Linked DNA regions of Notamacropus eugenii. The protein of the gene in region 1 binds, or shares a complex with, the protein of each later gene. Links are inferred from orthologs where the notes say so. Each region holds a gene or a part of one and is shown in the gene's direction. Other genes may lie near its edges. The genes, in order: FLT3 and FLT3LG.

Evidence for each region.
Region 2: the proteins of FLT3 (region 1) and FLT3LG are in contact, whole or in part, in a crystal structure (PDB 7QDP), measured with the Homo sapiens proteins. The link is inferred for Notamacropus eugenii from reciprocal best matches to the Homo sapiens genes FLT3 and FLT3LG. Residues at the interface, in NP_004110.2 of Homo sapiens: Asp180, His279, Gly280, Phe281, Gly282, Met300, Ser301, Thr302, Tyr303, Asn306, Arg307, Met309, Arg311, Ser333; in NP_001191431.1 of Homo sapiens: His34, Ser35, Pro36, Ile37, Ser38, Ser39, Asp40, Lys44, Lys87, Glu99, Asn102, Thr103, Glu104, His106, Phe107.

Annotation. Positions count from the first base shown.
Region 1 is NC_092876.1:196,314,009-196,317,916, reverse strand, and holds the start of FLT3 (receptor-type tyrosine-protein kinase FLT3), read left to right. Parts: upstream 1-939; 5' UTR 940-1,239; coding exon 1,240-1,288; intron 1,289-3,908. UniProt on the Homo sapiens protein: Tyrosine-protein kinase that acts as a cell-surface receptor for the cytokine FLT3LG and regulates differentiation, proliferation and survival of hematopoietic progenitor cells and of dendritic cells.
Region 2 is NC_092876.1:12,260,113-12,264,020, reverse strand, and holds FLT3LG (fms-related tyrosine kinase 3 ligand), read left to right. Parts: upstream 1-1,070; 5' UTR 1,071-1,153; exon of another isoform or gene 1,154-1,242; intron 1,243-1,347; exon of another isoform or gene 1,348-1,411; intron 1,412-1,543; 5' UTR 1,544-1,577; coding exon 1,578-1,610; intron 1,611-2,170; coding exon 2,171-2,293; intron 2,294-2,404; coding exon 2,405-2,458; intron 2,459-2,569; coding exon 2,570-2,713; intron 2,714-2,949; coding exon 2,950-3,088; intron 3,089-3,192; coding exon 3,193-3,530; downstream 3,531-3,908. UniProt on the Homo sapiens protein: Stimulates the proliferation of early hematopoietic cells by activating FLT3. Synergizes well with a number of other colony stimulating factors and interleukins. Required for the development of B cells, and dendritic cells (DCs).

The DNA of each region.
Region 1 (3,908 bases):
TATCTTAACCAAGACCTAGAGCATTGATCTGTAGATAACAAGCACTTAATGGATTTTTTTTTTCATTTATACGACTGCAAAGTGGAGGAGTCAGAATTACATCAGGTGTTTATTTGCTACACTGTGTGTTGAATTCTCATACAAATTAGAAAATCACATTCAATTTACAGTTTTCTGATCCCACAGCATAGCATAGATAACCCAACCATAGTTTCTAATTTACTTTGGAATGTATGCAGCTCATGATTTTATTTTATAGGGAAGGGGCAAAGATTTTCCTTTCTAGTTGTATTTAGCTGTCTTCCTTGAATGCTGTTTTTCCTAGCAGCCCAGAGGCACAGTGAAAAGAGCACAGGCTCTGAAGTCAGAGACCCTGCATTTAAATCCTGCACGCGAAGTTTACTACCTGTGTGATCCTGTGCAAATTGTTTCAACCCCCACCACTTCAGTTTTCAATGAAAAGTGTTTTACACACATTATTTTAGTCTCACAACAACTCTTTGAAGTAGATAATATAGATAATTTAAAGGTGAGGAAACAAAGTCTCAGAGAAATACTTATGGTTACAGAGTTAATAAGTATCAGAATACGATTTAGACCTGGGTTTCCCTGACTCCAACTCCATCATGATAGGCTAAACATTCACTTCGTGGCCCACCACGAAAGTACCAGCTCCTTTACAGAGAAACCAGAAATAGTAGTATTAATGTATAGTGATGGATTCGAAGTCAGAAAGATCTAGTTTCAAATCCTGCCTTTGGTATTCTCTGTATGACCACTGGCAAGTCCCTTTGCCTCTATGAGTCTCGATTTTCTCAAAATGGGGATAATCGATACCTGTCATAGAGTGGTTATGAGGCGCATCTGGGATACTGTATATAAGTATGCAAACTTTAAAGCCGCGCCCACAGTCTCCCCATGCCAGCGCCACTTTCTTTGCACTTGGGGCTCTGCCGGGCAGGTCGGACACTTCCCCCAGCAAAGTATTTCCAACTCTCAACTCCAGCTGCATCCCTCCTGGTCCAGCCCCTGGGCTCTGCACGCGGTCCTTACAAGAAGCACCAGTACAGCAGGGTTTCCCCCACTCCTCTTCTTTGCAGCAGTTACGAGGGAATTTGTGGTTGGTGACGCGCAGCCTTAAGAGCCACCTGCAGCGCTTGGCGCGCCAGACTGGGGAGGGATCTGCGGGCTGCGGGCCCGCAGCCGCCGGCCTGGGGGACCCCTGTGGCACGGGAGGCCATGCTGGTGTTCGGGCTCCACGGCGGCCGCGGCCAGCTCCGACTACTTGGTAAGGACCTCCCCTAGCAGAGCCACGGTCTCAGCCTCCTTCCTTCGCGCTCCCTCCTTCCTTCGCTCCACCGCCGCTGGCTCTCCTTTCTTTCCCTCCTGCCCACTTTTTGCCTGCCTCCCCAGTCCCATGCGCACTCTCTCTCCAGCTCCATTTTGCGCTCTCTTTCAATCGCTTTGCACCACTCCTTTGCCTTCCTTTCTTCCCCGATTTTCTGGCGTCTTCCTTGCCCCTCCTCTTTTTCATCTGACCCTCCTCATCCGGCCTTCTCCTTCCCCCTCCAATCGCTTCGAACTTTTCCTCCGTTTCTTGCTTTTCGCTTTCGTTCATTCCTTTTCCTTCCTCTGGAACTCACGCCTCTTGCTCTTTCTTCCATCCCTAAACGGCGTACTCTGTTTCCCGGCCATCTCTTCTCAAGTCTCGTCCCGTTGAACTCCCCCCATCCCCCGTCAGTCCCCAGAGAAACTCCCATTTCTCCCGGGTCCATACCCGCCTGGGGGCACTGTGTGGCCGCGGGAGTTTGGCGTCCGGGGTCTGATGGGAGAAATCGGACTCCGAGGTTGGGGTGAGCTGGCAGCTGATGGTTTAGTTGTGGACTTCATGGGAGAGTACAACGGGGAGGTGCGCAGGGGCATCCGTCTCTCCCTGATGGTTTTGGTAATGGAACGAACTGTGGGGGAAAACACGCTCTCAGCACTCTTTCACCCTGACCAAAAAATTCTTCCAAAAAAAAAAAAAGATTCGAAAAACAATTATCAGACAGTGAAAACACTTTGTTTAAATAGAAATTTAAAAGTATACAATTATAATTTAAGTACTAAATTATTGTTTCTCCAAATATCAGTAGTTTTACTCGAGCTAGGTGAAGCAGCTGTAATGGAAAGGGTTTGGAGTTGGTTTTGAATCTTCTTCTATCTGACTGTTAATCTCTTAATTTTTCTGGATCTCAATTTCCTCATCTGTAAAGTAAGGATGTTGGACTAGACTAGACCATTTCCAAAGTTTTTTGCAGCTTTAAAATACAGGTTTTAGATGAAAGCTTCTTTTAATGACCTTGAGGTCTGTATTTCGAAACACCCCCCCCCCCCCCAACTTTGTTTCTGTCACTTTCCTCAGAAAACTGTGAAAATCTACCAAAATCTTTTTCCAATCTATCCCAAACCTCAGCAGTTAAAAACTCAGGTTGAGACCCTAGAGAAAGGAAGAGAGCTACTGACTAACTCTGCCCTCAAAGCTTACTGGGGGCCCCACCCTGTTCAATAAAAGATTTGCTGCATTAAAATGCTTCTTGGGAGTGAGATGAATTAATTATTCCAGAACATCTGGATTCAAGTCAACAAATGCTAAGTGATTATTAAGCCGTTGTGTTGTAGAGTGGACAAGGGGTTTGTTTTACTCAGAAGCTCTATCTACTCAATTCTTATATAGTGCAAAGAGCATTTGTTATCAGAAAGCATTTGTTGCAGTCCTGTCTCTGACTTATAGTAATTGTGTAACCATGGGAAAGTCACTTAACTTCTTAATGTCCCAGAAAATTCTCTTAAAAAAAACTATTAAATTAGAGATGAATTGCCAATCTGCATAGATGGATGGAATTTGCACACTGGGATTTAGCCATATCAATAAAATCATAAGTCCAGACCAATTGACAATAACAACAGCTACTACTACTACTACCAGTATCACTACCACCACCACCACCACTACTACTACTACTACATGCCAGCCTTTGTGATCACTTTGTGGGGGTTCAAAATAGTAGCCTTTGTTCTCAAGGACCTTAAAATCTAATTGGGAAGAAGGGTAGTAAGATATGCACAAAGACTGAAGTTAGAAAAATGATTAAGTGCATAATGGAATGGACTGTGATTTAAGAAAGGAAGAATTATGTGTAGTTGAACTCTGGCCTCGGAATGTGAGCAGTCAGAAAGAGAAATGAGGAAGCGTGTGATACTTGATTTTGGTCTGGGGCCTTGAAGGAGAAGGATTTCCATAGTTGGAGATATGGAAAAGGTACATAAAACTATAAGGCAAATTGTAGCCAAATTGGAATTTATATTTTATATACAGGATAGCAGAATATTAGAGCTAAAAGGGACCTTAGATCATTGAGATCCTCATTTTATAAATAAAGAAACTGAGGCTCAGAAAAATAGTGATTTGCTTAAGGTCATCCAAGTAGTATAAGGCAGAACTAGGACTCCCATATAAGTCTTTTGACTGCTTTCCTTTCCACAGTACTAAGATTGAGTAGGTAGGTAGTAGTGAGCTGCTGAGAGTCTTTGATCTAGGGAATGATGTGATCTGACCAATGCATTAAAAAGATTTGGAGACTGTTTATAATTCTTGGGAATAAGCCATTTATAGAAATTTTTCCTTGAATAAATTAATTGGCCATGTTTTGCTTTTACAAAGTAAAAATGAGTTGAAATCCAGTCTTAGACACTTAATAGTTATGTAACTCTGGGCAAGTCACTTAACCTTTATTTGCCTCAGTTTCCTCAACTGTAAAATGGAAAACCATAAAAGTTCAAGTTGGAAGATATCTCTAAAGGTTATCTAGTCCAAGAATATTTTATTTACTGTGGAATACCAGAAGATCATTCTAATCCATCATTTT
Region 2 (3,908 bases), about 180 Mb from region 1:
AATGTACTCTCTGGATCAAAGGATATGAACATTTTAGTCACTTTATTTGCATGATTCCGGACTGCTTTCATAAAAAAGTTGTACCATTTGACAGCTTCACCAACAATGTACCAGCGTAGTGTGAAGGGTTTGAAGTGGTAAACAGCAAGGGTTATTTCATCTGTGAAATAATAGGAAGGCAGTCAGTCTGTAGCACCTTCTTTCACCTGCCTCTGTTCCCATTTCCCTTCTCTGACTGCATCTTTTACTCCCTCTCCCAACTTTTTTAGTGAATCTCTGTGTCTGTCTCTCTATGCCATTTCTTCTTCTCCTGTTTCTTCTCTTCCACCAGCTGTCTCTCTGACCCTTTCTCCCTGAATCTTGCCATCCTTATCAGTGCTTGTCTCCCATGTCTCCCTTCTCTCATCCCTGTCCCTCCCGTCTCTCTGAGCCCTGCGTGACTCTGCCTCTTCTTTCCCTGACCCTGTTTCCCTTTCTCCTGTCTCTGCCTCCCTTTGTCCCCACCTGCCTTTCCTCATCACCGTCTGTCCCTGTTTTCCTCTCCCAACATTATCTCCATTCCCCTTGCTTACATCCCTGTCTCTTGTCTTTGTCCCTCCTGGTTGGCCATTGCTGTCTATCTGTCTTCCTTTCTCCTCATTACTGGCAGTCCTACTCCCTCCCCTATCTCAATCTTTTCCCCTATCTCTGCCTCCCATATCCCCGTCTCCATCTGTCAGGAATACGCACAGTGAGGGGCCAGGCTGGGGCTGGGACGGTCATCTTGAGTTGGGCCTTCGCCCTGTGCCTGTTTGGGCACTGTCATTCTGGATTCAAAACCTCAGAGCACCAAGGGTTTTTTAGAGATTCCCCATTCCAACCCTGTCCTTTCTCAGAAGAGGAGAGAGCCTTGGATAGATCTGATAGATCAGGGTTGTAGGGCCTCTGCAGAGGCTACAACCCAGTGCTCCAACCCAGACCTCCAAACTCCCAGCTGATTCAGGCCTAAGAAAGGACCCAGGCGTCCCCTGCCTCCTGCAGCTCAACTCAAAGCCACCAGAGGGCTCCTCCCCCATGGATTCCCAAACTTTTCCCCAAAACATCTTTCACTTTCGATCTCTGATGTCTGGGCCCAGACCTGCCCTGGGCCTTCCCGGCCTGGACAGGGACCCTGGTGCGGGGCTGGGGCAGAATGCCTGGGTCCCAAAGGGGATAGAGGAGGGCAGCCTGGGTCCCCAAGGGGTCTGAGAAAGGAGTGCCTAGGTTCTTGATGGGGCTAAGATAGATTGCCTAGATCTCCATTAGGGTTTTGGGGGGATTGGCTATCTGAGGAGAGAGGATGGGGGAGACGATGCCTGGGTCTCCAAGGGGTTTGAGAAAGGGGGTGCCTGCGTTGCCAAGGGAACTGAGGCAAGGGATGCCTTCCTGGAAGGTTGGGCATGATTCACAGTAATGAGGCGGGGGCAGGAAACAGGGTGGGGGAGGAAACTTAGCCACATGAAGGGGCTGGGGGAGGGCACCCGGACGCCTGGGTCCCTGGCTGAGCCGGCTCTGTCCCCCCCAGGGCCCGGCAGCGGCATGAGGGGCCCCAACTCAAGATGACCGTCCCAGCCCCAGCCTGGCCCCTCACTGTGCGTATTCCTGACAGATGGAGACAGGGATATGGGAGGCAGAGATGGGGGAAAAGACTGAGATAGGGGAGGGAGTAGGACTATCAGTAATGAGGAGAAAGGAAGACAGATAGACAGCAATGGCCAACCAGGAGGGACAAAGACAAGAGACAAGGATGTAAGCAAGGGGAATGGAGATAATGTTGGGAGAGGAAAACAGGGACAGACGGTGATGAGGAAAGGCAGGTGGGGACAAAGGGAGGCAGAGACAGGAGAAAGGGAAACAGGGTCAGGGAAAGAAGAGGCAGAGTCACGCAGGGCTCAGAGAGACAGGAGGGACAGGGATGAGAGAAGGGAGACATGGGAGACAAGCACTGATAGGGATGGCAAGATTCAGGGAGAAAGGGAGGTAAAGGCAGAAGTGGGGAGACAGGACAAAGAGACACAGGGGTGGGGCAAAAGGGCGACGGAGGCGGTCAGAGTCAAGGAGATACATCCAGACAGAATGAGTACTGAATCAATGCCCATCTAGGGGAAGGGACCCAGGGCCTCTCCCCAGCTCTGTCTTCCCAACACCCCAGGCTTCCAGGCTGCTGCTCCTGCTCCTCCTGCTCCCCCAGGAAGTCACTGCCAGTATCGATGATACCTGCACCTTCCCAGACAGTCCCATCAGCTCCACCTTCCTCCAGGCCATCACCGATTTGGTGAGAGCTGCCTCTGACTGCCCTCCCTGACTCTCTGTTTTGGTCTTGAATGTTCTCTCTCTCTGTTTCTGACCCTTTGGATTTATTTCTCATGTCCATCTCTCCCTCCAGTCTGACTACATGCTCACGGATTACCCAGTGGATGTCCCAGATAATCTCCAAGTGGTGAGTCTGGGGGTGAGGCGGGGCGGGGGGCGGGGGAGGGGGGAGGAGAATTAGGGGTGGACCCAGGTATCCCTACTTCAAGGACTAAGACACCTAGGCATCTCTCCCTAGGATGAGCAGTGTTGGGCCCTGTGGCACTTGGCCTTGGCCAAGAAAACCCTGGAGCACCTGAAGCTGGTGGCAGGGAAAAAGTTGGAAGACCCCCTGGAGGCTGTGTACACTGAGGTCAACTTTGTCAGTCAATGCATCAACCAGGTCAGTCTCTTGCTCTCTGTCCCTGATCCTAAGGGCCTTCTGCCTCCTCAAGGTCTTTGGGTCCACCACAGCTATATGAAGAGATGTGGTGGTCTCAGGCCTGGGCAGCTTGGCTGGGAGACAAAGGGATGAGGAGGCCTTCATCAGTTGCCCCAAGCTGCTGCCAGGGCTGGTTCTGAGAAGGGGGGACTAGTATGGTGTGTGACGCCCCCCACCTCCCTTCCTCGGCTCCCCAGTCCTTTCCCAGCTGCCTCCGTTTCCGTAAAGCCAACATCTCTCACCTCCTCCTGGATGTCTCCAGACACTTGGGGGCCCTGCAGCCCCTCATTACTCGCCAGAGCTTCCGGCCCTGCCAACAGTATCGCTGCCAGCCAGGTGAGGTGTCCAGGTGGGAACCCCCTCCCTTCAGGAGGAGGACTGGGGCTCCAAAAGGGAAAGGGCATAGCTTCTCCTTAGTACTCCCCTCTCCCTTCCCACAGAGCCCTCTACTGTCTCCACACTCCCCTCACCGGGCAGTCTTGAGGCCCTGGGAAGCACCCTGAGACCACCCCAGTCCTCTAGCTTCCATCTGCTGTCCCTGGGGGGGCTGCCATTTCTGCTGCTGATCGTGGTGGCTGCCTGGTGGTGCAAACGACGAAAGAGGCGGTTGAGGCCACCAGGATCCCCCAAGTCCCAGACACCCCAGGTGAGCTTGGCTCAACTCGGTGTGGGTGGGGTAGCGGGTGCCCCCCACCATGTGCACAGACAGCAGCTGACTCTGCCCCTGGGGGCCGCGGCTAGGGCCCCCCAGACTCTGTCCGCCAGGATATACAGTTGATGGTGCTTTGAACGACGACCTTGAAGGCCAAACCCGGGAGCTGGGGCTACCTCCTGAGGAAGCCTTCCATAAGCAACCCAGCTTAAGACTGGCCTCATTCTCTTCTCCTTGGATGAGCTCGAGTTACCGTTCTCTTCTGGGGGGCTAAGGGACCCCCCAGGCGGTGCCTGCGGTCCCCTTTTCCTCCTCCAGAGGGGTACCTGCAGGCTACCTTGGGGCCAGCCCACCTTGTGTACAAAGCTCTGAGGATGTATATAAAACGTTTTCTAATAGCTTTTGTTGGGTGGAATCTGTGGACAGAGACGGGGCAAGGCAGGAGATGCCCCGGCCGACCTCAGACCGGGATCTGGAGGCTGGTCACCGGCTTGGGCCGCGGCC